Linked DNA regions of Rattus norvegicus. The protein of the gene in region 1 purifies or fractionates together with the protein of each later gene. This does not show direct contact. Links are inferred from orthologs where the notes say so. Each region holds a gene or a part of one and is shown in the gene's direction. Other genes may lie near its edges.

What was found.
Region 2: the proteins of Rexo4 (region 1) and Rrs1 purify together in Homo sapiens (co-immunoprecipitation; 3 studies listed by BioGRID and IntAct, with this or other methods). This does not show direct contact. The link is inferred for Rattus norvegicus from reciprocal best matches to the Homo sapiens genes REXO4 and RRS1.

What each region holds. Positions count from the first base shown.
Region 1 is NC_086021.1:30,678,783-30,682,593, reverse strand, and holds part of Rexo4 (RNA exonuclease 4), read left to right. Parts: intron 1-935; coding exon 936-1,010; intron 1,011-1,775; coding exon 1,776-1,850; intron 1,851-2,692; coding exon 2,693-2,812; 3' UTR 2,813-3,811.
Region 2 is NC_086023.1:14,515,732-14,519,412, reverse strand, and holds Rrs1 (ribosome biogenesis regulatory protein homolog), read left to right. Parts: upstream 1-1,476; 5' UTR 1,477-1,565; coding exon 1,566-2,663; 3' UTR 2,664-3,110; downstream 3,111-3,681. UniProt on the Homo sapiens protein: Involved in ribosomal large subunit assembly. May regulate the localization of the 5S RNP/5S ribonucleoprotein particle to the nucleolus.

The sequences.
Region 1 (3,811 bases):
AGCACCCCGAGTTTCTGAGTTGCATGTTGCTGCTGCTTCCGCTGTGTTTATAGGAAAGGAACTGGATAGGCATGTGTCTCCTCGGGGTGCCATTCCAGCCGGTCCAACCTTTACAGGCTGGCCACACAACCAGCCAGTAGGTGATTGAGCTCACATGACTGCCCAGTGCTAGGTCATGTGACATCTAGCTTCTGCCCTTTTAGATGTCTGCGATTAGACAGTGGACATTGCCCTTCCTCGATGTGACTGTAGTGTCACTGGATTCATGTGTTTGAGGAACCTCTAGATGGGAGTTTAATTCCCATTCAAATATTCAGGGCTAGAGCTGTGTGTTAGCTCAGTGGCAGGATGTGTGCTTCATGTGTATCAGGCCCTGGGTTTCATCCCTGTACCAAGAAAGGAAATAACAAATGGTCAACAATTAAAAATTAACCAAAGCCACCTGCTCACTGATATAATGAGTCACCTTAGAGAAGACTGCCACCAGGGCCACACCTGCCTCCTCTAGTGGTCACTTCTTTGGACTGTATGAGTCTAGAAGCTGTTACACTGCAGGACGAGCTGTTGATTTTCATGACTTATTTCCCCAGGAACAATCAGCTCAGAGAAGTCGGTGGCCGGCTGACTTTTTCTCAACATCATTGGTGTCCAGATTTTACTTTTGTTTTTGAGACAGGGTCTCACTGTGTGGTCTTAGCTTGTCACCTGCCTCCGCCTCCACAGCACTAGGATTCAAAGTGTGCGCCACACACCCGGCCAGGATTTTATTCTTGTTAACATGGTTCTGCGTAGTGGGCATCACCTTAGGTCAGTTAATTAATTTGGGAAACTGCTTTTTTCTGAGCGTTAATACCCTGTGGTGCCCTGTGAGGTGGTATCTGGAAAGGGGGGCATTGTTGCAGACTGAAATGGAGATAGTTGTCATTTTCTTCTAGGTTCTGTTCCTTGAACATCCGAAAAAGAAAATCAGGGACACCCAAAAATTCAAACCGTTCAGGAGTCTAGTAAAGGTATGTAATGAATGAGTCGTGGGCCATGACTAGTTCCTGGCACTGACCGCCTGGCTAAAGGGATTCAGTTTATTTTTCTCATTTTAATCTTTAATAAGAGCGCTTGTCACAGAAGTCTGGCAACCTGGTTTTCATCCCTGGAACAGCTGTGAAGGCAGAAGAGGTTGTCCTCAGACATGGTTCAGTGCTACTCTTGCAGAGGACCTGAGTTCAATTCTCAGCACTTGTGTCAGGTTACTCACAATCCCTGCAACTCCAGTTCCAGGAACCCTGGCATCTCTAGCTTTCTCAGGCCCTGCAATCATGTGCATATGCCAACGTGCAGCTATACATACCTCTGTATAACAAATAAGAACTAGAAAAAAAATTAAGTCAGGTGTAGTGGCACACACCTTTAATTCTAGCACTAAGGAAGCGAAGGCAGGCGGATGAGTTTGAAGCCAGCCTGGTCTACAGAGCAAGTCCCAAGACAGCCAGGGCTACAAGAAACCCTATCTTTAAAAAAAAAAAAAAAACAAAAAAAACCCCAAAACCACAATAATTAAAGCACTCCTCTACCACTTGGAATATTGCTGACCCCCAGCTCCTCTACTGGCTGCTGAGCAATGTTGTAAGCCATAGCAGGTTGGTGGTCACGGCGGTAAGTGCCACAATTACTCCTGGTGAAAGGAAGACTGTAGGTCACTTGGGTGTGCTTAGGAGCCATTGTGTCCTCCTTGGCAAAGCCTATGGAAGCAGCACATTGTGGTGTTCTTTCCTCTACAGAGTGCACGGCCGTCTCTGAAACAACTTTCTGAGAAAATTCTGGGGCTCAGGGTCCAACAGGCAGAGCATTGTTCAGTAAGTATCGATGGGCGATGACATCTGACGCTAACACCTAGGGATGTCTCACTTGACCATAGAAACAGGAAAGGACCCCAGGCAGAGCAGGCTTACAGAATGTTGTTGTATCTTAAATATTTGCATTTAACTTGAACTCAATGCAAAGAGTCAAATACTGTAAAGATTTGGAGCAGTTGAAGACTTTATACTTCCCGTTACTGACCTGAGGTTGGGGATGTCATGGTAATGAGGCTTAGCTGATTGGAGAAATGCCAAGGAGGAAGGAGAAACAGGTCACTCTTGGCAGAACTGATTGGCGCCCCGGGGATTACCTTGTGTTTCTAGTGCCATCTGACCTCCCACTAGACCCCAGCTCTGAAAGGTCCCACTACCCTACATTGCCACACTGATAACCTGGGGGGCAGGGGGGACCTTTCCAAACCCTAGCACAGGTGCTTTAGGACTTTGTGACTTGAGGGTCTTCTGGCCAGGCAGTCTGCTTCAGGAGAGCAGGTTCCCCTGTGGTAGCCTCTGACTCTGAGCCCTTGTGCATGTCTCAGCTGTGTCTGCTGTGAAGCTCCAGGTTCCTCCTGCTATGGAGTTTCTCTTTCTGCCCCTATAAACAGTGGCTGAGTCTGAAGCACAAGAGTTAGCTTCAGGTTCTGCTACAACCATTTCTTTTGTATGGTTTTCTCCTTCACTGCCCTACCATAGTCATACAGGGAGGTTCGTGTCTCTCTTGGCTTTGCAGCCTCAGTGCCGTGGCTAGCATGAAGACTCAATAGTTGTAGGGTTACTTCTGTGGCCTGTAGTCATGTGTTCTCGCTAGCTGGGTGGTCAACAATGCTTCTGTCCCCCAGGTCCAAGATGCCCAAGCAGCAATGAGGCTTTACATCATGGTAAAACGGAAATGGGAGAGCATTGCTGCAGACCGGCGTGCCCCAGCCGCCACTCCACACCACTGCAACGAGTATGCTTAGCACCATCCTGCTGTCGCCGCCACCCTGTCCTGCAGTGACTCCTCGATCCAGGGGCAGTGGGATGGGGTTATGAAGCCTATCAAGTCTCTGCTTAGCAGGGACTCTGTCTCTGGTGAGCGTTCTCAGAGCCATGGCTGCAGGCCTGTGGCATGTGAGCTACTAGAACTTCCTCTTGGACTACTAGGGACTGGTCCTGCACTTGTGTGTTGACGTAGACTGGTCAGATACAGGGCAGGAGTCAGGGGTGTAGGTTCGGAGGAGAGAGAGCATCATTGGAATGGGTGAGTGTGCTGCAGAGCCTGTGTCTGCTGACCGCCTGTGCTACCACTTCACAAAGAGCAGAGCTGGTTTCCGCCAGAGCACTCAGCACCTTCCCTTAAGGAGCAAGAAGCGTCTTCTCTTGCAGGTAAGGGGAAAAGCTCTGCTGGATCTAAGGGATCCAGGCTAAGGGCGTTCAGTTTGCTGCAAACCAGTCTGGCAGCCCAGCAACTGCCCATTGAGGATGTTCTTAAAGCTACTCTGCTGAAGGTACTTTCTCACTCCTATGTCCTTTGCTTGGCCTAAGATGTCAAAGTCCAGTATGGTGTTCTCCAAGTAGTCCTTGGCGTGAGCCTTGGGGCACAGGTACACCCAGAGGTCTAAGACCCTATCTACCACCTGGAAAAGTTTAAGCAGAAAGGCCATCTTCCCACTGTCCTGCCAACAGCTTTTCTGGCTAGCAACAAGTACAGAATGACCAGTGAACTTCATGGGTTTATGTGACAACTCTTAGAACAGGTGCAGTCATGCATATAATGGCAGATGTCTGCTTTTTTTTTTTTCCCTTTCTTTTCTTTTCTTTTCTTTTCTTTTTTTCGGAGCTGGGGACCGAACCCAGGGCCTTGCGCTTGTAGGCAAGCGCTCTACCACTGAGCTAAATCCCCAACCCCCGATGTCTGCTTTTTAACGTAGCTGTGGACTGAGATGTGACTCAGAGAGCACTTGTTCAATATGTATCAG
Region 2 (3,681 bases), on another chromosome or scaffold:
AGTACCAATAAAAATCATTTTATGGTCGAGGGTTACCAGAACATCAGAAAATGTATTCAAAGGTCATCAGGAAGGTTGAGAACCACTGTCCTGTGGCTTACACACACACACACACACACACACACACCCCTTATGCATTTGTGTGAAATGTGTTAAAAACTCCTCATTGAAATACTTTCAACAGAAAATCACGAATCAGTAAAATTGAACCATGTGAAGGTGAGTTAAGTGGTTTAAGTGCCCCTAGCTAATATTTTATCAAATTAACTGGTGTTCTGGATTTCTTGAACAAAAATATTGAGAGTGAAAATAAAATGTTAACTGCAGATCTAAAATGTGGCTGAATCATCCTTAATAATTCCTACCATAATTCCCAGAAGGAGATGAAATTGAGCACCATTGAGAAAGCAAGGGCCAAGAAGGAGGCTCACTTGCTTGCTCCCATTTGCTCCCAATCCTGACATTTGCTCAGCATTTGCTCCCAATCCTGACAACCTCAGTTCAATTCGCAGAACTTTAAGAAATTTCTCCTCTGACCGCCATATATGTGTGACAGCACGACAAATAAGTTATTTAGTTTCATGTTTTAAAAAGTAAATCTAAGTTAATGTGATTTTTAAAGACTGATGAAATCCCTTTAAGTACTGGTTGCACTGATCAAAGTAACCATGTGTAGTGGGCTGGGCGAGGGCTGGGCGAGGGCTGGGCGAGGGCTGGGCGAGGGCTGGGCGAGGGCTGGGCGAGGGCTGGGCGAGGGCTGGGCGAGGGCTGGCCGAGGGCTGGCCGAGGGCTGGCCGAGGGCTGGCCGAGGGCTGGCCGAGGGCTGGCCGAGGGCTGGCCGAGGGCTGGCCGAGGGCTGGGGCTGCAGTGCCCTGCCCCCTGCCACCTGCCCTGCCCCCTGCGCCCTGCCCCCTACCCTGCCCTGCCCTCTGCCCTGTCCTGCCCCCTTCCCTGCTCCCTGCCCTGCCCCTGCCCCCTGCCTTGCCCCCTGCCCTGTGCCCTGTGCCCTGCGCCCTGCGCCCTGCCCAATTTTCTATTCCTGTGGATCTGTGTGGGATCTCTCTCCGCTCACACCTAGAGTACAGAAAACGGACTATATAACTCTGGGGAAATAATTTGTGTCGTCCATACACTTCTGTAATAGATTTACCCTCAAGTACTGTTGTGTAAACTCCATCTGGAAACTACAACGCCCGCCTGCAGTTCCAAGAGTTTGAGCAGCCCGCTTCCTACAGCGACCGCCCCTACCCCGCGGCATGCTGGGAAACGTAGTCCCAACCAGGCCTTGCGCTTGTTAGTCTTCATTCAGCCAACCTTCAGCGCCAGTCTAGCCAACATCCGGTTACGAGTCCAAGTCCCGCCTCTAAGCCCATCTGCTCTCCAATGCCGCCCTCTGCCGGTCCTTCCCTCACCGCCCAGTTGAGAGCAGGTTCCCGGAAGTGAGCTTTTCTCTTCCGGATTACGAGTCCGGACGTCCGCACGTGGTGGCTGGTTTTTGGGCTCTGCCATAGTAGCAAAGCATTCCGCTGCAGCCCCAAAGTGAGGGAACGGAGCCGGCGAGAGCCATGGAGGGGCAGAGTGTGGAGGAGCTGCTGGCCAAAGCGAAGCAGGAGGAGGCGGAGAAGCTGCAGCGCATCACGGTGCACAAGGAGCTGGAGCTGGAGTTCGACCTGGGCAACCTGCTGGCTTCGGACCGCAACCCCCCGACGGTGCTGCGCCAGGCCGGACCCTCGCCGGAGGCCGAGCTGCGGGCCCTGGCGCGGGACAACACGCAGCTTCTTGTCAACCAACTATGGCAGCTGCCAACCGAGCGCGTGGAGGAGGCGGTGGTAGCGCGCTTGCCTGAGCCCGCCACACGCCTGCCCCGCGAGAAGCCGCTGCCCCGGCCACGACCGCTCACCCGCTGGCAGCAGTTCGCGCGCCTTAAGGGCATCCGTCCCAAGAAGAAGACCAACCTCGTGTGGGACGAGGTGAGTGGCCAGTGGCGACGCCGTTGGGGCTACAAACGTGCCCGAGATGACACTAAGGAGTGGCTGATCGAGGTGCCTGGGAGCGCAGACCCCATGGAAGACCAGTTCGCCAAGAGGATTCGGGCTAAGAAAGAACGCGTGGCCAAGAACGAGCTGAACCGACTGCGGAACCTGGCCCGCGCGCACAAGATGCAGATGCCCAGCTCAGCCGGCCTGCACCCTACGGGACACCAGAGTAAGGAGGAGCTGGGCCGCGCCATGCAAGTGGCCAAGGTCTCCACCGCTTCTGTGGGACGCTTCCAGGAGCGCCTCCCCAAGGAGAAAGCGCCCCGGGGCTCCGGCAAGAAGAGGAAGTTTCAGCCCCTCTTTGGGGACTTTGCAGCCGAGAAAAAAAACCAACTGGAGCTACTTCGAGTCATGAACAGCAAGAAACCTCAGCTGGACGTGACGAGGGCCACCAACAAGCAGATGAGGGAAGAGGACCAAGAGGAGGCTGCCAAGAGGAGGAAAATGAGCCAGAAAGGCAAGAAAAAAGGGGGCCGGCAAGGACCTTCGGGCAGGAGAAAGGGCGGTCCACCGAGTCAGGGAGAGAAAAGGAAAGGAGTCTTGGGAGGCAAGAAGCATTCCAGGCCACCTGCCTTAGGTGGCAAGAAGAAAGGAGTGCCGCACCATGGAGGGAAGAGGAGAAAGTAGTGCTCTCCCCTCTGGACCTCTTCTGAAAAGCTAGAACCGTACTTGCTGTAGGCTGGTTCAGGAGGTGGCCGCTGTCCTCAATGAGCTTGACATTGAACGGGCAGGTTTGCCTCCCCTCGAGTCAGTGCTGGACTACGAATTAATGGAGACACTGACTGGTTGGTGTGTTTTGAGATTATGAGAATTACAGAAATACTGTGGTCAGAACCAGGAATAAGTTAATGCCTGCCTTTTTATCTTGACTTTGGATGCTGGGTAAAGGTTGATCAAATTTCTAGGTTATAGTAGACTGGTTTCAGCATTTTTGCATTATTTTGGTAATAAAGCTTGTATATTTATCAAAGCAGGAAGAAGGGGGAAATTTACAAGTTTGCCGGTAGAAGTTATATGTGAAGCCAGTGACATGGGTACCAATACGTGTGTGCTTGCAAAAAAAAAAAAAAAAAAGTTAAAATGGTTATAAATGACCCCTGGTATTAGGAAAACTCAAACATTCTTTTGGCACTAACTATAATTAAAGTATGGTGCTTCTTGATGTTGGTTCAGGTGGTGCATTTGGCCAATAATTTGGAACCACACTAAATGATGGTAATTAACCTTGTTACTCCAGAAAATGGTTGTCATTTTGTTTGTAGCTGATGGCTTTTGTTTAATTGGCTTGGGTTTTAGTTTTTAGCAAATGCTAGGCTGGAATTCTCTATGGAGCCAAGGCTGCCTGGAACTCACTCAGGCCAAGTGCTGAGATTATAAAGGAGAGGCTACACCCAGCAGATTCCATGGTTATTTCTGTCCTGGATGTTATTTTTTTAATCTTAATAAACTTATCTTTGCATAAGTATTAATACTTGAATACTTGCATTATTTTTGTAAATTATGAATTGGAAATCTAGAATTGAGTGAGGGAGGGGTGTTTTCTGTTAACCAAGTTGGTCTGTCAGGGCGGAGTTACTTTTAGGAAAATGCAAGAAAAGCTCAACTTGTTTCATAGCAACTAATGGAAATACCGATTGTTAATGAC